Arabidopsis thaliana: one gene and its partners. The protein of the gene in region 1 interacts with the protein of each later gene in a pairwise test. Each region holds a gene or a part of one and is shown in the gene's direction. Other genes may lie near its edges.

What was found.
Region 2: the proteins of AHBP-1B (region 1) and ROXY1 interact in binary tests that used the Arabidopsis thaliana proteins (3 or more experiments, as listed by UniProt).
Region 3: the proteins of AHBP-1B (region 1) and NPR3 interact in binary tests that used the Arabidopsis thaliana proteins (3 or more experiments, as listed by UniProt).
Region 4: the proteins of AHBP-1B (region 1) and AT2G25650 interact in binary tests that used the Arabidopsis thaliana proteins (3 or more experiments, as listed by UniProt).

The regions. Positions count from the first base shown.
Region 1 is NC_003076.8:2,148,867-2,155,717, forward strand, and holds AHBP-1B (bZIP transcription factor family protein), read left to right. Parts: upstream 1-1,973; 5' UTR 1,974-2,265; exon of another isoform or gene 2,266-2,269; intron 2,270-2,442; exon of another isoform or gene 2,443-2,931; intron 2,932-3,194; 5' UTR 3,195-3,256; exon of another isoform or gene 3,257-3,260; intron 3,261-3,348; 5' UTR 3,349-3,456; coding exon 3,457-3,522; intron 3,523-3,621; coding exon 3,622-3,693; intron 3,694-3,781; coding exon 3,782-3,841; intron 3,842-3,962; coding exon 3,963-4,040; intron 4,041-4,117; coding exon 4,118-4,169; intron 4,170-4,456; coding exon 4,457-4,728; intron 4,729-4,821; coding exon 4,822-5,067; intron 5,068-5,161; coding exon 5,162-5,308; 3' UTR 5,309-5,720; downstream 5,721-6,851. Other genes in the region: AT5G06940 (Leucine-rich repeat receptor-like protein kinase family protein), read right to left, coding at 1-1,905.
Region 2 is NC_003074.8:331,124-335,166, reverse strand, and holds ROXY1 (Thioredoxin superfamily protein), read left to right. Parts: upstream 1-2,094; 5' UTR 2,095-2,244; coding exon 2,245-2,655; 3' UTR 2,656-2,892; downstream 2,893-4,043. Other genes in the region: ACR6 (ACT domain repeat 6), read right to left, coding at 3,101-3,427, 3,538-3,642, 3,708-4,043. UniProt on the Arabidopsis thaliana protein: Has a glutathione-disulfide oxidoreductase activity in the presence of NADPH and glutathione reductase. Reduces low molecular weight disulfides and proteins.
Region 3 is NC_003076.8:18,226,155-18,232,410, forward strand, and holds NPR3 (NPR1-like protein 3), read left to right. Parts: upstream 1-2,613; 5' UTR 2,614-3,164; coding exon 3,165-3,698; intron 3,699-3,786; coding exon 3,787-4,537; intron 4,538-4,611; coding exon 4,612-4,812; coding exon of another isoform or gene 4,813-4,877; exon of another isoform or gene 4,878-4,905; coding exon 4,906-5,180; 3' UTR 5,181-5,424; downstream 5,425-6,256. Other genes in the region: AT5G45113 (mitochondrial transcription termination factor-related / mTERF-like protein), read right to left, coding at 6,123-6,256. UniProt on the Arabidopsis thaliana protein: Salicylic acid (SA)-binding substrate-specific adapter of an E3 ubiquitin-protein ligase complex (CUL3-RBX1-BTB) which mediates the ubiquitination and subsequent proteasomal degradation of NPR1 in response to SA.
Region 4 is NC_003071.7:10,912,498-10,917,512, forward strand, and holds AT2G25650 (DNA-binding storekeeper protein-related transcriptional regulator), read left to right. Parts: upstream 1-2,013; 5' UTR 2,014-2,267; coding exon 2,268-2,504; intron 2,505-2,585; coding exon 2,586-3,509; 3' UTR 3,510-3,719; downstream 3,720-5,015. Other genes in the region: AT2G25640 (SPOC domain / Transcription elongation factor S-II protein), read left to right, coding at 1-194, 428-548, 924-983, 1,211-1,411; emb2410 (embryo defective 2410), read right to left, coding at 3,959-4,105, 4,212-4,484, 4,576-4,767, 4,881-5,015. UniProt on the Arabidopsis thaliana protein: Probable transcription factor. May play redundant roles with GEBP and GPL2 in cytokinin responses by regulating the transcript levels of type-A ARR response genes. Involved in stress responses.

The DNA.
Region 1 (6,851 bases):
TCTCACTTGAGCTTTCAGAGATTTCGAGGATATATTCTTAGAATTCACAAGCTTCTTCACAGCTAATAACTCCCCACTAGATAAACTGAGAACGTATACTTCACTTCCGGAAGGACAACTTTCATTCACCACTTTCATCAACTCATGCTCAGTTAACTTGAAGGGATAATAAAACTCCGAGCGCCAAGTACTCTTGAATTGCACTTTCTTTCGAGAATAACGATATAACACCGCAAGGAAAGTGGCAATAGCAAGTGCTAAACATATCAAAGATAACACCAACGCTTTACCACCTTTTTTATGGAAGTTAGACCGATCAGAGGAGCAAGAATTGGGTAAACCGGGTCCACAAAGCTCAGGATTTCCTTGCAGAAAGGAAGCTGGTAACCCGGAGACCAGAGAGTGAGGTACCTCACCTGATAATCCATTGAATGACACGTTAAAAAGAGCAAGCTTTAGGTTCTGTAAGCCTTGAGGGATCAAACCAGTAAGACTATTATCAGATAGATCAAGATAGGTCAGAACATGTAAATCAGCAAGTGATGGCGGGATTTCTCCGGTGAATGCATTGCCTGCTAGAGACAAAGAGACAAGCTTCTTGCAGTTTTTCAGTTCTGGGATCTTTCCTAAGAGCCTATTGTGAGAGATGTTTACAATACTAAGGACAGGTGAGTCGCAAAAATTCGGCGGTAACTCTCCACTAAACCGGTTTTGTGAAGCAGAAAACTTATACAAGCTCTTAACCAATCCAAGACCATGTGGGATTTCACCAGAAAAGGAATTGTTGACTATCTCAACTTGCTCCAATGCAGAAGCCAAAGACACAGACTCTGGCACTTGACCTGTGAACCGATTATTATCCGCTCTAATAATCTTAATCCTGGGTAATTTCCACAACACAACTGGAAACTCACCAGAAAATCCATTGTTCTGCACTTGAAGCCTCTCCAGACTAAGGCATTCACCAATGGAGTTAGGCAATGACCCTTCAAAGAAATTCGAGTGGAGAGAAAGGTTAATAAGCCTTTTACCACTGCAAATGCCACTAGGGAAAGAGCCAGATAACTTATTCTGTGAGACATCAAGAGACACTAAGTTCTTGAGAGAAGGGCCTAATGATCGAGGAATCTCACCACTCAGGTTGTTCAAACTCAGATCCAAGGTTCTCAAACTTGTCAAACCAACAAACGAAGTAGGAATCTCTCCATGGAACCCTGACCTATGCAACAGAAGCTGTTCAAGCTTGTCTAGCTTCCCAAGAAAAGAAGGAATCTCACTAACCAAATAGCTGTTTTCAGACAAATCAAGAACAACAAGCTCACTTAGCTTCCCAATAGCAGGAGGGACGATACCAGTGAGCAAATTACTTCCCAAGTTGAGAACTTGGAGATTAAACAATAACCCTAAATCTTCTGGAATCATACCTTCGACATGGTTACTGCTAAAGTCAATAACTTTCAAGGAACTAAACTCAGAAATCTGATCAGGGATTGTGCCCCAGATGAGATTAGAGCTGAGATTAAGAGTCTCTAAAGTAACACAACGAGACAACTGAAGTGGGATAGGCTGATTGAAGAAGTTCAAGGAGAGGTCAAGGTGAGTGAGGTAAGGGAGGTCACAAATGGAGTCAGAGATTTCACCAGAAAGATTCAAACTTTGAAGGTTAATGGAAGAGACGTAAAGAGTAGGAGCTCTAGTACATGTGATACCAGTCCAGTTACAATGGTGCGAAGAAGAAGTGTTAAACCAACCTGAAAGAGAGCCTTTTGGATCATCAAAGGAGGCTTTGAATCTGAGAAGGTTACCAAGTTCCTCGTTCTCTGTGAAAGAGAAGGTCTTGGTGAAGAAGAAGAAGAATGTCAAGGCTAGTGAGATTGAAAACTGGTGCTTGAATCTGGTAGCCATTAATGAGTTAAGAATAGAGAATGAAGAGGATCTGCTGAATGAGTGAAGTAGTGAGAGAGTGAGAGTGAGAGTGAGAGTGAGAGTGAGAGTGAATTGAATTTCAGGTGTTGAAAATACGGGGTGGGTTTTGCAATTATAAGATAGTAGGGTTGGTTAATGGTAAAAATAAAGAGTATAGGGTTTAGTTTGAAATTTCCCGTTAAATTTTGGTCGAGGGTCTATGGGGAACTGGTAGATTTGTAGACAAAACGACGTCTCGGAGATTGGAATTTCGGATCGTGTCTCTCTCTGTTTCTTTGTTTCAATCCGATTTCGAATCAAGCCCTTTACTTGTGCACCTTCAAGATTTCGTTTTTCCAGGTCAGTTTCTTCATCAAGCCAACCTTTTTTTCTAGGGTTTTTCTTCCTTTGTTTTTTTTCTGGGAGTTTTCTCCTTCACAGTCCTAAGAAGCTACTTGTTAACTCTGTCTTTTTGCTTTTGAAGTTAAACCTAGTTGACTTTCTCAAGCTTAAAGAGTTCAGCTTTTTTTTTTTTTTAATTGGTGATTTTGTTCTTAATTTTGAGCTACCAAAATCATCGAATTAAATGTTAATCTCTTGAATTCTGTTTCGGTGGTAGTTTCTTGGTTTGAAATCATAGCTGCAGCTTCATGCCGAATTCTCACTGGTTCTAGATTTAGAGTTTAGCTTTTTTTTTTTACTTTACTCGGATATGAATACTGAGTAAGGAATTGAGTCAACTCGGATGTGAATACTGAATAGTTTTTGTTCTAGCTAGAGTTGCAAAACTAAGAGATTCAGCTACTGAAGCTACTTTAGTGTCATTCAAACTGAATTGAAATGATGTGTGTGAGTGTGACTGTACCTAATTTTTCAAACTCAGGCATTTTCGACTGTGCCAACACCTTAAGTCTCACTGATTTTGACTTTGATCCGCGAGCTAAGCTTAAGGTCTGAATGAGTTTCTCAGACTTTGTAGATTGTGCAAGCTACATGTCTGATTGGGTTTGATGAATTGCTTTAAAGGTTGTGTTTTTGATGGGCTATTTTTGTCAGTCTGTTAGCTACAAACAGATTGTTCTTATATATTTGACTTTGTGACTTATGGTAGTCAGCAGAATTTCCCTTAGGACACTTTGAATAAGTAAAGGACTCTTTAGCATTCTTTAGCTGGCTTGTTTAACTGAAACAAACTAGAGAACCTTTTTCTTGACTTTATAGGACATAATTGAAAACTATGTTAGCAAAAGAGATGGTATGTAATGCTGTTTTTTTTTGTGCTCATTCAGCGCAGCCAATGCTCCGGGTGACCAACATTTGTTCCTGATTCATTTCCTATTGATTCGTATTGGTAGGTGTTGATCTTTCTTTTATATTCTATCACCTAATTTTGTTCTTTCTGTCTTTTTTTCTTTTTCTTAATTTCCTTCCGAATCCTGGCAGTCTGTGCACACAAGAGAAATTTCAAGAAGTTGTTACTAAAAGAGAGGCCACAAGTGGATATTGTCTTTGTTATCAAGTGTTAGTACAGAAAAGTGGTGAGAAAGTAATATGGCTGATACCAGTCCGAGAACTGATGTCTCAACAGATGACGACACAGATCATCCTGATCTTGGGGTTAGCTCATAATCTGGCTAGATTTTATCACTTATATTCTTCAAAATAGTGTGATTTTTTATGGACCAAACAAAAATTCTGGTGTTAATTTTAATGCAGTCGGAGGGAGCACTAGTGAATACTGCTGCTTCTGATTCGAGTGACCGATCGAAGGGAAAGATGGATCAAAAGGTGACATGTCCATCTCTGTAGATAAGATCACTGTTTTTATTCAGCCAATTTATAATCTCTTTTTGTTTCCTTATATTTTGATCCATAGACTCTTCGTAGGCTTGCTCAAAACCGTGAGGCAGCAAGGAAAAGCAGATTGAGGAAGAAGGTATATTACCTTCCATTGGTTTTATCTTTTTTTACTTTTTCTTTTCTTTTTAAATTGGTGCATCGCTAGAAGCATAGCTATTTGGTACTACGTTAATTCCTTTTAATTGCTCCCTCCATAGGCTTATGTTCAGCAGCTAGAGAACAGCCGCTTGAAACTAACCCAGCTTGAGCAGGAGCTGCAAAGAGCAAGACAGCAGGTTCAAATTTGTTTCTTATTTCTATTGATTTTTATTTTGTTATTCTGTATACCTAACGGTAAATTTCTTGTTTCTAGGGCGTCTTCATTTCAGGCACAGGAGACCAGGCCCATTCTACTGGTGGAAATGGTTGGTTGCTTATTCTCCATTAGTTTTAATTATGTTTATTTTTTGGCTTCTAATTTGTGTATAAGTTAAGTTCATATATCAACTTCCTGTTGACTTGGTGTAGACTGATCAATTAGTACATCATATCTCATCCCATTACAATACACTGGGTTATCAGAGTCAGTGGCAGACTGACATGGTTCTGATAGCAAAAACTGTTATTCTAATTAGCACTGGTGTAGATTTAGATTTACAAGATGACGAATCTCATGGGTTTGTTTTGATCATGTATAAATTTTTTAATTCAGGTGCTTTGGCGTTTGATGCTGAACATTCACGGTGGTTGGAAGAAAAGAACAAGCAAATGAACGAGCTGAGGTCTGCTCTGAATGCGCATGCAGGTGATTCTGAGCTTCGAATAATAGTCGATGGTGTGATGGCTCACTATGAGGAGCTTTTCAGGATAAAGAGCAATGCAGCTAAGAATGATGTCTTTCACTTGCTATCTGGCATGTGGAAAACACCAGCTGAGAGATGTTTCTTGTGGCTCGGTGGATTTCGTTCATCCGAACTTCTAAAGGTGAGGTCAAATTTCACTTTGTCTTCACCGATTGCATCTGTTTCTACATAGAACATAAAAAGAATGGTCATAGGGAAAAATGTGTTGAAACAGCTTCTGGCGAATCAGTTGGAGCCAATGACAGAGAGACAGTTGATGGGCATAAATAACCTGCAACAGACATCGCAGCAGGCTGAAGATGCTTTGTCTCAAGGGATGGAGAGCTTACAACAGTCACTAGCTGATACTTTATCGAGCGGGACTCTTGGTTCAAGTTCATCAGGGAATGTCGCAAGCTACATGGGTCAGATGGCCATGGCAATGGGAAAGTTAGGTACACTCGAAGGATTTATCCGCCAGGTACAACACTTGTGATGTTTTGAGATGATATCTTAGTTAAGAGTATATATATATATCAATAGGTTAATAATCGTCTCTTGGTTGGTGGTGGCAGGCTGATAATTTGAGACTACAAACATTGCAACAGATGATAAGAGTATTAACAACGAGACAGTCAGCACGTGCTCTACTTGCAATACACGATTACTTCTCACGGCTACGAGCTCTAAGCTCCTTATGGCTTGCTCGACCCAGAGAGTGAAACTGTATTTTGGTCACATGTCAGCTGTACAAAATCCATATGGACACAAAACCAGGAGAGACTATTAATCAACACTTGTCAGATTCTTCTTACCAAATCCATCAACAAATAAGCAAATTTCTGGGAAACAAAAGACTCTTTGTATGTAGGTTTCTTCTACATGGTTGTGGTAATTCATGTTGTTTTAGTTGTAGTCATCAGTTTTTAATTTAGCATTTGAAAAGTTCAATGTTGTTTATATAGCATCTTCGATTATCTTAGAAAGGTTATTGAATTTTGTTTTTTTTTGTTACTTTTGTGTGTGGTAAAGGTGTTTTAACCTTGCAACTTCTGTACTGTAATCATTTAACAATATTAAGATGTTCTATTTGAGTTTTGTAGTTTCATCGCTTGTGTCTTAAATCTTATTTAGTGAGGATTCTAATGTAAACTTCCAAGAGATGATGAAAATGAATTTACATTCAAAGTAAGTGTGATAGATTTTTTTGTAATAAAAAAAGGGACATGTCATTGTCAAAACCAAGAATTATTTTGTTTTTAGAAAAAAGAGAGTGTTGCAATTTTCAGAGGACTTTTTAACCCTCAGCATCTAGAGGTCCACCATCACTTGAGTTTCGTCTTCCATTCCTGTTTTTTTTCAGAGACCGGCAAAATAAAAAAAAAGAAGATCGTACAACTAAAAATACCTCAAAGAAGGAAGATACAAAAGTAGTAACCTTTGTTGGTGATTGATACTATATCTGTTGTGGGTTTTAGACAAAGACCACGTCTTTGCAGTTGTAGATTGGAATTTTCCGGATCTTTCTCTAAATCGCTTTTTCTCCGAGCAACTTTTGTTTGGGGTTAAGCTCAAAGAATCCGTTCTTTTCAGGTGAGTCTCTTCTTCAATAGTCTTAGGGGTTTTAGTTCTTCAGTTTTCTTATTCTGCCTCTGCTTTCATGATTGTTTTTTTCCATTGAAGATTTTGACCTTTGAGGGAATTTTTTCCTTTTTGCTTTATGTACGTGTTAAGGATCCAAAATCATTATTTCGGACACTATTTAAACGAATTGGTTGAGATTTGATGTTATGAAGCTTGAATTTTGTGTCTTTTACTCTGTTTCCGGGGCTAGTTTGCTAAATTCTGAATCTTTTAGCTCTACTTCAGTCTAATGTTCAGATTAGTTACTGTTTCACCTCACGGAGAGCTTTACGCTATAGAAGTCCGTTGGTTCTCATTTCAAATCATATAGGCGTGCTTATTGTTTACTTTGATTCTCTGGCTTTGAATACTCAAAGTTCTTGAGGTCATTGGTTGCTTCACAGCTATGTGTTAAGTTTAGTGGTTTGGATCTTTATGTTAGTGTGACATAAATAGGGTGATGTATCGTATCATTGTTTCCACTTTCTTGATTCTACTTAATGCGTTGGTTTTTGGCTTAAAAATATGTTTTCTTTCTCTATAACTCTAATCTTTTGTTTATGTTTACCATCTTACTTTTGACAGTCTTTACTCCATCTAGGGTACCACGATTGGATCGGTTTTTATCTGATGATTTAGTAA
Region 2 (4,043 bases), on another chromosome or scaffold:
ATTTATTTTTTTACTAACTAAAGCTTTTTGGAAATTCAATATACATTATAACATATATACATGTTCCATAGCATATACAGCTACACCACGCGCATACATAGGCACAGATATGTACCTTCCTCTGTATCAGTGTATTACAGATATATATGAGCCAGCTGTTTGTATATATATAATATATACATTGTTTTATAACCCGTAGGGACATATCTTGGTCAGGTGTTGGAATCAGACTCGGACCATTATACTTCGACGATAGAACTCTCTAAAGCTTATTTTAGGGTTTAGTTCAAACCCCACCTTTCATCTCCCTATCGGCTTTGTTTCACCGTAAGAGGTAAAAAAAAAACGAAATTTGAAAATATAAAAATATGAAATGAAGATATATTTATAACAAAGCACAACATTAATATTGTGCAAAGAGAGACATACACACAGATATTTATAAATGGCAAAGACCAGATAAAGCTGAAAAGATAGCATCACGCTCGTATTCTTTCTATTTTTTATTTTGATATCAATTTATATATTTTGTTGTACTAATTAATATAGGCCAGAGGGCTCTCGTTTCCTGCCATCTAACCCTACCCGTCCGATCGATCAAAATCTCTTTTTTTTTTTTCTTTTTCTCTCTAAAATGTTTTTTTTTACAAGAAGAAAATCATCTTTTTATTGATAATCATAAAACGAAAGATTTTTAAAGTTTTGTATAATGTTAGCCTTGTATATACATATTTAAACTTTGAAGAATAAAAAAAAAAGCCAAAAACAGAAAAGAGCTAGATCAATATACAAAGGAATAAGGAATGTTCAAAGTTTCAAGTTTCAGGCGTTGAATACGAACTTCAGAAATGTTCAAAATACCCTTATTGAAAAGCATGTACATACGCTACTCGAAAGGGTTAATATCGGAGAATCGGTTGAACAGATCAAACATTGTATGACAAGTGTTACGTAAGTCTTCTGTCAGGAAAACTAGATTTTTAAAAAAAAAATCAAAAATCAAAGGTAAAGCGATCCGACAACCACAATCCGACAAGATTATTTATCTTTTACGATTTCTCATGCAAAGATTTTTTTCCAGAAAAGAAATACATGAGTTTAAACACTAAAAGAAGTAACTTTCTTTTTCAGCTAGAGGGAGCATAACTGTACGGACTTCTCTTACTATATTCAATATACATATAAAATCTTCTCTTCCATCAATCCTTCGTTTTAAATCTCATTTTAAGATTTAATTTATTGTGGAGCTCAAACCTGAGACACACAAAAAAGGCATTTCGTGTATAAAGGACACAAGCGTGGAAGCCAAAAGCATGTCACAAACTACAAACTTTGTAAACTTTGAAGAAAAAAAAAAAAGGCTTTTTCTATATAAAATTGTTCAAATTTTAATATTGTTATAATTAAACCCATCCAAATTAATTCATGGGTGCTGTTCTTATAAAATATGTACACATCATAATTCTCGAGTCATAATTCTTTTTCTATATATATAAGGAGGATGCTATTAATCTGGATAAGAAACATAAGATTCTGACTCCTTAACAAATTATGATGTGATGATTACACATTTGCTGGATTGATGATTACTCGGTCGTATGGAATTATATATTTTACAGAGTAGAATGGAATAAAAGAAAAACCCTGCCAAAATCCATATTGTACAGATTGAGGGAGCTTATCTACGTGGAAATTATGGTTTCTTACTTTATGATCATGTATCTGAAAATACAAAGAAAGAAAAAGAGAGAATTAAGTGGTAAGAAAATTAATGGTGAGAGCGGTAAGAGCCGACAAGAAGGACAGACGGAGCCGTCTATTACCAACAACTCCCTTCTGATAAAAGCCTGTTCTTCAACTCTCCTTGCCTTTTTTTTTTTTTTTACAAAAAAATGAAATTATTCCGATAACTATTATCGGTGTTTGTTTTCAACAGCAATCACTATCTTGATGTCATCGGTTTTAATTCATATGTTTTGTTACTTTTTTTCTTTTTTTCATGGAGAAGTAAATAGAGGTCATGTTATTATACACAAATAATAAAGAAAGAAACAATAATACTAATAATTAGAGGAAAACAGAGTTAGACTCAGAGGTGTAGTAGGCCTCTATAAATACTCTGCATGGCTCTCACTCTCTTCTCACCAACAAACTTTAGCCAATCCCTCTTTCTCTCTTATTCGTGTTTAATCTAGTTTCTTTCCAAACAAAAGTGTAACAAGAGAAAGAGAAGAGATATCAAAGATGCAATACCAGACAGAATCGTGGGGATCATACAAGATGAGCAGCTTAGGATTCGGCGGTTTGGGGATGGTGGCTGACACTGGTCTGCTTCGTATAGAGTCCCTGGCTTCTGAGAGCGCGGTGGTGATCTTCAGCGTGAGCACGTGCTGCATGTGCCACGCCGTGAAGGGTCTCTTCAGAGGAATGGGCGTCAGCCCCGCCGTCCACGAGCTCGACCTCCACCCCTACGGCGGCGACATCCAGCGAGCCCTCATTCGTCTCCTCGGCTGCTCCGGCTCCTCTTCTCCAGGGTCTCTCCCGGTCGTCTTCATCGGCGGTAAACTGGTTGGAGCTATGGACAGAGTCATGGCTTCTCACATAAACGGCTCTCTCGTTCCTCTTCTCAAAGACGCCGGCGCTCTCTGGCTCTGATCCCTTCCTCTGCTTTCTTTTTTCTTTTCTATTTGAAGTTTTCTTGTAAGAGAATGTGGTGGAGGAAGATTAGGAAACTAGTCAATGGCTGTAATGACAGGTTTTAGATTATAGTTTGTAATTAGAGAGAGAGTTGTTTTAAGCTCACCTTTCTCTGTCTTCCTCTTCTTCATCTCTTATTGATCTTTCGAATGCTCTCATTAAATCATAATAGTAAACACTTTGCATCTTTATTAATGTCCCCTGGATCCATTAATCAACGGTATTAACTGACGCCGTATCTATTCAAAGGCAGTTCCTGTTATTTTGTTCACACAAATTTACACACAAGGGACTTGTTGAGAGGGGATCGCTACGATCAGCTTAAATGATGCCCTACTCTGTCTAACCTATACAAAGCACACACACACTCTATGACTATGAGTGAGATAGGTGAAGCTTGAAGCTACTTGGGTTTGAAGATGTTACTTAGCAAATACCCCATTGTAGTTGTTTCGTGCGAAGGCCTGCTTGTACCAAGAACAGAGCAATGCTCCTTCTCCTTCTTCTTCACCTTCAGCTTGCTTACTCCTATCTGTTGTCTGATTGACTCCACGATTTTTGATTCAACCGGGTTTCCAGTCACGTCTGTAACGTAGAACGTGTCTTTAGCCTTACCCTCTCGCGTTGATATCTCTGCTCTCACAATGGTTAAGCTGTTCTCTCGGAATGTTCTGGTTATGTCTGAGAGAAGACCAACTCGGTCTTCTGCTGATAATTCCAGCTCTAAACCCTGAAAGTATGTTTCATATGCACAATCTGTCTTGAGTATATCAGAAATCGATGCAGAACAGAATGTAATTTGAGCCAAGACAGAGAATTTTCACATTCCTAATTGGTTACCTCCGATGCTCTCCTCTCAATGGCTGCTTCCAGACATTGTATGACACGTTCTTGCTCTGCTTCTGAGTTTATGGGAAGTCCATCCACATGACGGATGTAAAATTCCTGCAGCAAAACACTCATATTATTGTTAGAAGAGAGATCCCAACAGACGGCCGTTGAGTAGTTACCTGATAAGCCTCCACTGGTTCTGTGCTGACCATGCCATGGAACACCACATACTGCATATCAGTCAAAGTACAGACTACGTCAAACACAAGCTTTGGTCTATCTTTGGACCTCATGGTAACAACGGTATAATCCTTCTCAATGTTCATTAGTGTGACACTGGGCCTTGACGCCGATGTCCTTGCTCTTTTGACTCCCTCGTAGTCCCTATCATCAAACATGATCTGATGCAACCGTCTCTCCCTGTGTGTATCAGAACAAGAGAAGACTGTTTTCGCAGCTCTTGAGCCGCTGTTTGTCCTCACTACATTGCACAGCAGCTCCTTGATGGTGGAAAG
Region 3 (6,256 bases), about 16 Mb from region 1:
GTTGTATGTTGTTATTGACAAGTAGCTGCGGTTTATTCCTACCAAATTGTTGGTTCTTTACAAAGAAAATAGTTTGTTCAAAACTCTGTATGCCTTTTATTTTTACTTTATTTATGCAAACCTTTTCACATAGAGTATTTTGACACGATTAAAAAACATTGTTGTATATGACCCGGTCCAAGCCACGCCAAGTCTCTTTTAATACACGAAAACTCAAATATCAAAGGTGGAAACGCATGTTATATAAACTTTTTTAATTGATATTATATCAAATTATTCGATATTATAAAAAAATTACATAAGGAGACTTTGTATGATAAACCATATATTCCGCGTAGCTTCTCAGCAGGAACTAGGAAGCATCACCGACACTGACACACCACCCCATTGGATCGATGCTTCAATTTTTATTTCCAGTAATACATTTACATGAGTCATCAAGGTTGTTTTCTCTTCCAAAATATAAAAAAGTTCATCATATACAGGTTCATACATTTTAGATGCTTTGGGACAAATTTAAAAGATATATTCCTTAATATCATAATTTTTTTATATACTTCTTCTTTTAACAAAAACATTAGGTGCCTTTTGAGTATATACAAAAAACAAATTGTGTCCATCTTGTATAGATTTTTTTTTTTGTGCCCTATAAATTTATGTATATGTAGTTATGTACCCTATAAGTTTATATTATCGGCCCCTATAGTTAAGCCGGCATTGACTATATATTTTTATGGAAAATTTAAGAGTTTTCTTTTTGTTTTGTTATTTTTCTTTTTAATTGTTTCATCAAGTTAAGTTTCGTTTCCAATTCCTCTTAGAATGATTTTTATCTCTTGTGTTAGGTCACGCTTTACTAGTTTACACTCCTCTTTAGAATGATTTATCTCTTGTATGAGTTTTGTTTTTGTCTTTTTGTTAAGAATTTAAATATTCCACTAAAATGAAAAGTGTTAGGATTTTCATGAAGTAAAGCCTGAAGTTTTTGGTCTTATGGCAAAAAAAGAAAAAAACATGAAAACAAAAGAAATCAATCCATTGACATCAACAAAACAAATTACGTTTTTGAGTCATAAAGTGATATAACAATTTTGAATAACTACCAATATATATGTCCTCAATCTTGTGTGAGTTCAAGGCTTTATGGGTTACATCGTTATACTTAGTTTATGTAAGAAATTTGTAAATTTGAATGGGTTAAAACTTCTGATCTAAATAACGAATTGGTAGGAAACTTTTTTTTGTCTTGTTAATATTTGATGGTTTTAGCCAAAGTAATACATAAAATAATTATTTAGTGACCAAAACTTATCGCATATTTGATGATTTAAGCCATAGTAATATGATTTGTATTAGTGACGTTGATGGTTTAATATATGATTTAGTGATACTTAGTGAACGAAAGATACAAATTAACATATGGTTTACCAAAGTAACGCAGCGTCACTAGTGACCAAAACTTAGCGTATATTTGATAGTTTAAGTCAAAGTAATATACTAATATGATTTGTATTAGTGACGTTGCATTGTCACTATCCAAGTTTACACTTATATGTTATTTTTTGTTAAAAATATATATTTATAGTTAGAATTCTATATTCGATAGCATTACCGAAAGTCGAAAATTTAATCATAGGAATCATTGCCAATCGAAATAATGCTAATTAAATTTTATTTCATATAAAAATTTGATGAATAAACTATTCAACGACTATCCTTAAAGAGTTTTTTTTTTTTTAATAGTCAGCTAACGCATTTCACCGATTGTATTTGTAGCCTTGTAGGTAGAGTCGAATTTCCGACGCGACTAGAATGCTAGCATAAGAGACTTCACCACTTTGTTACGAAGCCAAGAATCTTCTTGTTTTAAAAAAAAAAATCAAGACAAAATTGTCGTCCCTCATATCTATATTCAATTCATTTCAAAACGTTATTTATGTCTTAAAATTTGGAACTAGGCCACAAAGAATGACTTTGGTCATCACAAAATTATAAATTTAATAAAAATTTGGACCACTATAGGCATAGCTATTGCCTATTATAATCTCTACTATTACTTTATGATTTATCTACTATTCCGAAAGTGTAATTGTTTAATACGTCATCACATTGCAGCAATCCACACACAAGCCACGTCATTCATATGCCGTTCGTATTTGCTTTCGTCACTTCCTTCCGTCATCAATAGTGACGGCTATTTCTTAATATTAATCTTCTTGACTTAATGCTATTTCGTGACGGCATTAATTGGCATATCATTACAAGTTATTTACACCTAAGAAACAAATTAAAACTATTGAATAATATGATGTAAATAAAAATATATTAATGATGTGATATATCGCAGTCAAATAAAAATAGTGATTTTGATGAGAAAAAAAATATGTGTTTATCCATAGATTTGTTAAATTAGAGAAAGATGTGGAAAATGTTAGTGAGTGGCGTCATACACGGAGAACCTTTGGCATCATACACGGATTTTTCTAGTCTTTGTTTTCTATTTGTCAACTTTCATTTGAGTCTTTCTTTATACACTTTATTAGACCATGTTTTTAATTCTAATGCTTATTAATTCATATTATTAAATTTACAAAAAAAACTATTATATTAACTCTCTTGTTTCCTCTGTATCTTCCTTCACATTGAAGCTGTCTCTTTCTTTCACCATCACTTGCACCTGTTGTGTCCTGTTTGTTCTCAATTTCATCATCATTTATCCTTTATATACCTCTCTTTCTTTCTTGACTTTTCCTCTAAATTCTCTTCCTTTTTATCTCTTTGATACATCTCAATTTGGTTCTTTTGCCTTCTCTTTGATCTTATCTCTTACGATTGTGCAGATCTCAATCTCTATATCCTTGGTTGTGTCAGATTCTCTTAGGGTTTATTTTCTCTCCCAATTTTGTTTGATTCCTTGTCCAAAGTTTCTTCCTTTCCTTTTGACTTTTTTTTGTGGTACATTGAATCAGAGGTGTAAGAGTAATAGTTTCATAACTCAAATCCCCAAGTGTACAAATTTTCCTCTTTTGGTTCTGGGTTTGGTTGATTCCTTGTTAGAAATGTAAATTTAGGGCTTTTGTATCTGAAACCGATCTTCAGACTTGTGTAATCTTCTTGATCTTCATGCAAGATTGATAATTCTACAAGAAGAAGAAGAAGAGAAAATGGCTACTTTGACTGAGCCATCATCATCTTTGAGTTTCACATCTTCTCATTTCTCTTATGGTTCTATTGGGTCCAATCACTTCTCATCAAGCTCAGCTTCTAATCCTGAAGTTGTTAGTCTAACCAAACTCAGCTCCAATCTTGAGCAGCTTCTTAGTAATTCAGATTGTGATTACAGTGATGCAGAGATCATTGTTGATGGTGTTCCAGTTGGTGTTCATAGATGCATTTTAGCTGCAAGAAGTAAGTTTTTCCAAGATTTGTTTAAGAAAGAAAAGAAAATTTCGAAAACTGAGAAACCAAAGTATCAGTTGAGAGAGATGTTACCTTATGGAGCTGTTGCTCATGAAGCTTTCTTGTATTTCTTGAGTTATATATATACTGGGAGATTAAAGCCTTTTCCATTGGAGGTTTCGACTTGTGTTGATCCAGTTTGTTCTCATGATTGTTGTCGACCTGCCATTGATTTTGTTGTTCAATTGATGTATGCTTCCTCTGTTCTCCAAGTGCCTGAGCTAGTTTCATCTTTTCAGGTGTGTGAAAAGTCTTCTTTTTTCTTCGGTCTCTTTGTTTCTTAATTCATAGACCTCAATGAGAACTAAAAGGTTTGTGTGCTTGCAGCGGCGGCTTTGTAACTTTGTGGAGAAGACCCTTGTTGAGAATGTTCTTCCCATTCTTATGGTTGCTTTCAATTGTAAGTTGACTCAGCTTCTTGATCAGTGTATTGAGAGAGTGGCGAGGTCAGATCTTTACAGGTTCTGTATTGAAAAGGAAGTTCCTCCCGAAGTAGCAGAGAAGATTAAACAGCTTCGACTTATATCCCCGCAAGACGAAGAAACCAGTCCCAAGATTTCGGAGAAATTGCTTGAAAGAATCGGTAAAATTCTCAAGGCCTTGGATTCAGATGATGTTGAGCTTGTGAAGCTTCTTTTGACTGAGTCAGATATCACTCTAGATCAAGCCAATGGTCTGCATTATTCTGTTGTGTATAGTGATCCGAAAGTTGTTGCCGAGATTCTTGCTCTGGATATGGGTGATGTGAACTACAGGAATTCCCGGGGTTACACGGTTCTTCATTTTGCTGCGATGCGTAGAGAGCCATCGATCATTATATCGCTTATCGATAAAGGCGCCAATGCATCTGAGTTTACATCTGACGGACGTAGCGCAGTTAATATATTAAGAAGACTGACAAATCCAAAGGATTATCATACCAAAACAGCTAAAGGGCGTGAATCTAGTAAAGCCAGGTTATGCATCGATATCTTGGAAAGAGAAATCAGGAAGAACCCCATGGTTCTAGATACACCAATGTGTTCCATTTCTATGCCTGAAGATCTCCAGATGAGACTGTTGTACCTAGAAAAGAGAGGTAATTGACTGAAAATTACTGAATTCTTCTGTATCTTTACTACATTTTTGTTAAAGCTTCTACCTTTTTTGCAGTGGGGCTTGCTCAGTTGTTCTTTCCAACGGAAGCTAAAGTTGCTATGGACATTGGTAACGTAGAAGGTACAAGTGAGTTCACGGGTTTGTCACCTCCTTCGAGTGGGTTAACCGGAAACTTGAGTCAGGTTGATTTAAACGAAACTCCTCATATGCAAACCCAAAGACTTCTTACTCGTATGGTGGCTCTAATGAAAACAGGTAACAAAAAGCTTGCTCTCTGTAAGTCTACCCTTCATCTTCTTATGTTGCTCATTTTCTCTTGACTGACTTCATTACCGTTTCACAATGCAGTTGAGACTGGTCGAAGGTTTTTTCCATATGGTTCAGAGGTTCTAGATAAGTACATGGCTGAGTATATAGACGACGACATCCTCGACGATTTCCATTTTGAGAAGGGATCTACACATGAAAGAAGATTGAAAAGAATGAGATATAGAGAGCTTAAGGATGATGTCCAAAAGGCATATAGCAAAGACAAAGAGTCTAAGATTGCGCGGTCTTGTCTTTCTGCTTCATCTTCTCCTTCTTCTTCTTCCATAAGAGATGACCTGCACAACACAACATGAAACTGCACCATAAGTCAAATGTAATTAGATATCTTTGTTAAAAGGGTTTTTTCTTTATGGATGTTACTCAGATTTTATACAGATGCTTTAGGTTCAGTTTCAATAAAGAGAGATGGATAGATAGATGTACAAGATTAGGAGTGCTGATTAACCCAAAACGTTCTAACTATACGCAATCTTTTGTTTTCAATACAAAAATCTAATATTTAGGTTATCTACAAGATATTCTCAGATACCTGAAACTTAAACAAACAAAGACACTCCACAAAAAGTCAGGAAAAAACATGATCATTTGTCAATCATAGCTATCTCTTTACATAATTACAGAAGATAAGACTACTGGTGGCTAAGAGTAAAGAACAAAAACCATTCTTCCAAACAACCTGTAATAATGCATTCTGAACAGAACTGTCACATGTATGTCCCAGTAAGTAGATGTTAGCTGCTCTCTTTGGCATAGGGTCGGGGCAGGGGCTTGTCTGACCAATACTGTCTATCTGTCTTCTTCAACAAAGAAAGCATTTCAAGTTGCATTATATGTTAAGTGTGCCTTTCCAACATCGTAAAGCAATAGAAGAATATTGTACCAACGAAGGACTGTGCCTTTCCAATTTGTCACTCTGTTCAGTCCAGTCTAAAATTCACTTCACTGAGTTCAGTGGCGTTTCAACATTACGGAGAGCCTTTGTTCTTTCAGCTTTCTCGAAGTCCTTCCTTGTTCGTTTGTTGGCATCTATATCTATACTGATGAGTAGAGAGGTACAATCAAATCCACAGGCGGAAATACTTCACTATGCATCGACATATTCTGTGATCCTCTCCATCGCACTGAGAATTTCCAGGTTTCACTGGTTGTGAGCTAAGCAATGAGAAAATGTTATAGATCAACAGACATCTGCACTAGATTGAAGATAACGTTATATCATTGAACGGACCAGTTAATCAGGTAGATGCTTTCTTTATATTTTCCCAAGTAGCTGGACCTTCCGGGTGGGTATTGACAAAGTATGGCACAATAAGGGTATTAGAAATACCGACAACAGTGCCTAGTGTCAGCCTCGGTATTACTGCATCTC
Region 4 (5,015 bases), on another chromosome or scaffold:
GCATTGTCACCACTTACGGCTAAGGCATCATCACCTGTTAACGCTGAGGATGCTGACATAGTATCGTCAAAGCCTAGTTCTGATTTGAAATCCAAAACTACATCTGTTTTCATACCTGATGGTGAACGTTTATGGGAAGGTGTGCTCCAGCTGAGTCCTTCTACTGTGAGCTCTGTCATCGGCATTCTAAGAAGGTTTGTAATAAATTGTTTCATGAGTGGTAGCAAACCTATCTCAGTATTTTTTTTTTATTCCACATTTCCAAATTTAGGTTTGCATATATGAATAGCTTTCTTTATTTAGTCTACATGTTACTACTTATCTATACTATTCTAGTGCTTATCAGCTCTATAAAATGTTTTTTTAATGAATATGGCTTCGCTGTTATTGATACCATGTTTACCAACCTGATTTTTACGCTTCACAGTGGCGAAAAGACTACTACAAAAGAGTGGCCTATTTTGCTCGAGATTAAGGGTAGAGTCAGATTAGATGCATTTGAGAAGTTTGTTCGAGAGCTCCCAAATTCCAGGAGTCGTGCTGTAATGGTATTTGTCTACACGTTTACCTCTATCATTAATGTACATGTTTTATATACGCATTCTGTGTTTGAGCCCCTGCAAAAGCTATTAACTGTGACGTTTAACCAAGCTTAAGTAGAAGCATTTAGGAAAGAAGAGGAGAGATTAACGGCCAATACTGATTTGTGAATGATTGAGAAAAATACATTACATCTGTGAATCACAATGGAGATAGATGGACTTACAAAAATATTTTCACCAGAACAATTGCATAGCTTATGTTTCTTGAATAGGCCTCCATATTCCAATAAAACTAAGACCTGTTTGTTCTCGATTCTATATGTATGTGATGAACTCGTTTATCCATCATGGTACTTCTGAAACCTTGCTTTCGTGTTACAGGTTATGTGTTTCGTCTGCAAAGAAGAGTGCTCAAAGACAGAACAAGAGAACATTTCCGAGGTATGAGCGTTGGTAGTTAACCAAGATTCTGTGTATCCAAATAAACGAAAAGATGATTAAAAAAACTTGAGATTTATTTGAATATTAATGATTTATTTGATCAAAACTGAACGCGAATCTGTACAAACTGAAAACCCAAACCGAATTTAAATTGAAACACTCCTAAATATCTGTAGAATGTCTAACTTGGTAACGAAATTTGGGCATTTGGTTTTGTTACTATACAGGTGGTGGATTCATACGCTAAAGATGGGAGGGTGGGTTATGCAGAACCAGCTTCAGGAGTTGAGCTATACCTATGCCCAACCCGTGGGAGAACTGTCGAGATTCTAAACAAGATTGTTCCGAGAAACCAACTCGATTTCTTGAAATCTATAAATGATGATGGTCTTATAGGTGTTGTTGTATGGAGAAGACACACAATTTAAAAAATCACCACTATCTAACAACTCTCACAAGAACCACCGTGAAAAGGGTTCTTCGTTAACCACATATAATACTTCTCGTTACAGTAACATGCTACAGGTCAACAATGACGATGGTGATGATGTGCCACCGGGGTTTGGCCCAATGACCATGGCTCGGGATGAAGATGATGACTTGCCTGAATTTAACTATTTTTCCAGTGGGGATGTTGTCGTGAACCGGACAAGCCGGTCTGTATCTGTAAGAGAGCTTATTCAAAAATATGGAAAATCTGAACCTTTGAGGAACCAAAGTTATAATGATAATGACAATGATATACTACCAGAGTGGCAGCCTCAATCTAACTGGACTCTTGGGGTTACTCATGTAAATGGTGGCTCGATGGTTAGACCATGTAGTGAGTGGTGGTCTCATCAGGATGGCAGAGGAGGATATTAATTGTTTTTTGTTTCACCTTAGCAATTTTGTGTTTGTTATGCATTTTCTGTTGCAGGCAACACTGCTTTCCAAATTTTGTGATTTTCTCTCAACAGTCACCGATATTTGGCACTTTATTAGTAAGATGGGCTTGCGCAGCCCGCTAATATATTGCTCCTTTCTGTAACAAAAAGTACAAAAGTAACAAAATCCACTCCTATCGATTATACTATAAAACAGAAGTGCAGAGAAAATTTCAGTCATGATATTTTTTGACCAGCTCGATTCAGAAATTTGGAAAGACTAGCTTTTTTTTCTCTCGGGTTTCACTTTTTAAAGGTCGTGAAAATTTGGGAATCACTGATCAATTTTGTTAATATGATTTCCTGATTTAGGGTTTCTCTGCATGCCTCTAGAATCAGCAAGTGTAAAGCAATTACCATGGTGACTCCGAAGCAGATCGATTTCTCTTCCTGTGGTGGTGGTGATAACTCCGACGATACCCTCTCCCATCGAGAATCTCCACGGAATCCTTCCTCAAAGCGTGCTGCTGCTTCCTTCGCAGCAGAAGCAGGCGAAGAGACTATGAAGAAGAAAAAGAAGAAGAAGAAGAAGAATTTGGGTCCGCCGTTGATCGTCCGGATCTGGAACGAGGAAGATGAGCTCTCTATCTTAAAGGTATTCTATTCATCTTCTCCGTTACACTTTGATTTGGTTTTGCATTCTGATTTTCTCAAAACCAGATTCGAAATTTCTCAGGGATTAGTTGATTACAGAGCTAAGACAGGATTCAATCCCAAAATTGATTGGGATGCGTTTTACAGTTTCCTCGGAAGTTCTATCGTTGCGAAATTCTCCAAGGAGCAGGTTTTGAGTAAGATCAGGAAGTTGAAAAGGAGATTTCATGTTCATTGGGAGAAAATCAGTGAAGGGAATGATCCGAAATTTACTAGGTCTAGTGATTCTGAAGCCTTTGGATTTTCTTCGATGATTTGGGGACAAGGTGAATTTGGTAATGATGATGGTATGGATAAGGAGATGGTGAAGGAGCACGATGTAAACGGAAATGGCGCAGCTGAAAATGGGACTGCTCGAATAGCACAGGAGAACGAGAGTGGGGAGGAGATGTTAAAGGAGCATGAGGAAACGTTAAATGAGAATGGTGCAGAGGAGATAAGAGACAACGACGAGACTGCTCGGAAAGCACAGCAGCTCGAGAGCGAGAGCGAGGAGGAGATGTTGAAGGAGCATGAGGAACCCTTTAATGAGAATGGTGCAGAGAATATAAGAGACAATAACGGGACTACTCAAATAGCACAGCAGAGCGAGAGCGAGAGTGAGGAGATGTTGAAGGAGCATGAGGAAGTGGCTAATACTGAACTTGTAAATGAGAATGGGGCAGCGAAAACAACAGAGAACGGGACTACTGGTGGAAAAGAGAGACATGATGACGATGATGATGATGAGTTATGCGCTGTGCAGGATGCATTTGAGGCTGTAATGTCGCAAGGTTTAAGTGGTTATCAAAAGAAGTTGCAGCTTGAGAAGCTGATGAACCTTGGAACTGGAAAAAGAAGAGAGTTGAGTGATGAATGGAAAGCGTTATGTGTTGAGGAAAGAAGATTGAATATCAAGAAGCTTAGATTTTCCGCCAAGCTTGCAGAGGCAGCTAATGATAGTTAGATGAAACCAATAAGCCGTTGTAGCATTTGGTGTTAATTAGGTTCTTAGTAAGCCATAAGCTTTAGTCTGTTCAGTGTATATCTTTGGATGTTGTCTTTGTTCTGTTTGGGCAAGTGTTTGTAAGACATTCCAGTTTTAACTGAAGTATCCAGAAGAGCCATCCATGTCCATTGTTGGATATAATAAATTTCATTACTTTCTTGTTGCACCAATCAGTCAATGAAGTGGCAAAACATTTTATATGCATTCCCTAACAAAAGGCATTTACAATGTAATTTTTACATTTTTAACCACTAAAAGGCCAGAAGAAGTGCACAAAGAAAGACTGACCAAATAATAAAATAATTTTTCTTGTCGGTAGTCACCAAAACCATGCTATTCCAAAATGCACTTCCTTTGCAACAAACGGCTTATATCCATATGAATCCGACAGAGGAAGACAAAAGGATTTAGTCTTGTGATGTAGCAGAGTATTCAAAAAGCAAACGTTTGGAAGGTGCAGATTGCAGAAGGACACGCAAGCGGCTCGTGAGCTGGTAAATAAGTGTCCATTGCATTGCCATCTCAGAATCTTTCATCTGTCTTACCACAGAGGCCTGTAGATAAAAGACAGCAAGAACCGTGGAGTGCTTATTTTGGTTAGGTTTTGAAAAAAATGAGGCCATATGGAGAAGAAAGAAGATTTCAATGTTTATGCCTGACCTGAAGACGTTTTCCGAGCTGCACTTCAACTTCCGTTCCAAATGATATGTTGCTCGCCAGAGACTTGAGAGGATCCACAGTTGGATCAACAGAGAGTAAACTTGGGATCTGCGGAGCATACACCAACCTCCATCTCGCCTGACCAAACTCTCCTTTTCCTTCTATCCTTGGCATTATGGTTCCAAGTGTTGCGGTTGCAAGTTTTTTGAAAGCAAGTTGTCCATCTCCTTCTAATATGGATTCTGCTAATTGGCTCTCAAACACCTTTGCAGCCTGCGAAAGGGAGATTATTAAACAGAGATTTCCATCAAGAAGAAAACACAACAATTTCCAAAATACAGCTACATTTTAACTTCAAATTTACCTCCGAAGGTGAGAGAGCATCCTGTTCAACAGAACGTGTTGAAGTCACGACAAGTTTGTCCTGCCAATTACTGGCACGACTTTGAACCCTAAATTGCCATTCTGAACCAACTAAGGCTAAATCTAGCAGAGGATCTAGTCCATGTTCAGGCTCAAACTTTGCAACGTTGAGATGCTCCCTCTTCAGACGTACCTGTGTTTAGAAAACAAAATAGATGTTGGTTACTCGAGGACATGTTGGCTTTGCAAGAATTATGGAATGAATGAGTTCACCACATAAAATCAAAACAGAGATTTAGGCAAAACCTGAGTAGCCACAAGATTGACATCTCCGTTTTCGAATGTTAGGACACCCTTTGGTTTGATAAATTTTGGATGAGCCATGCCATCAAGTTCAAGCTCACCACTAACAGCAAAATTAAGAATTAAAGGGTACATTAT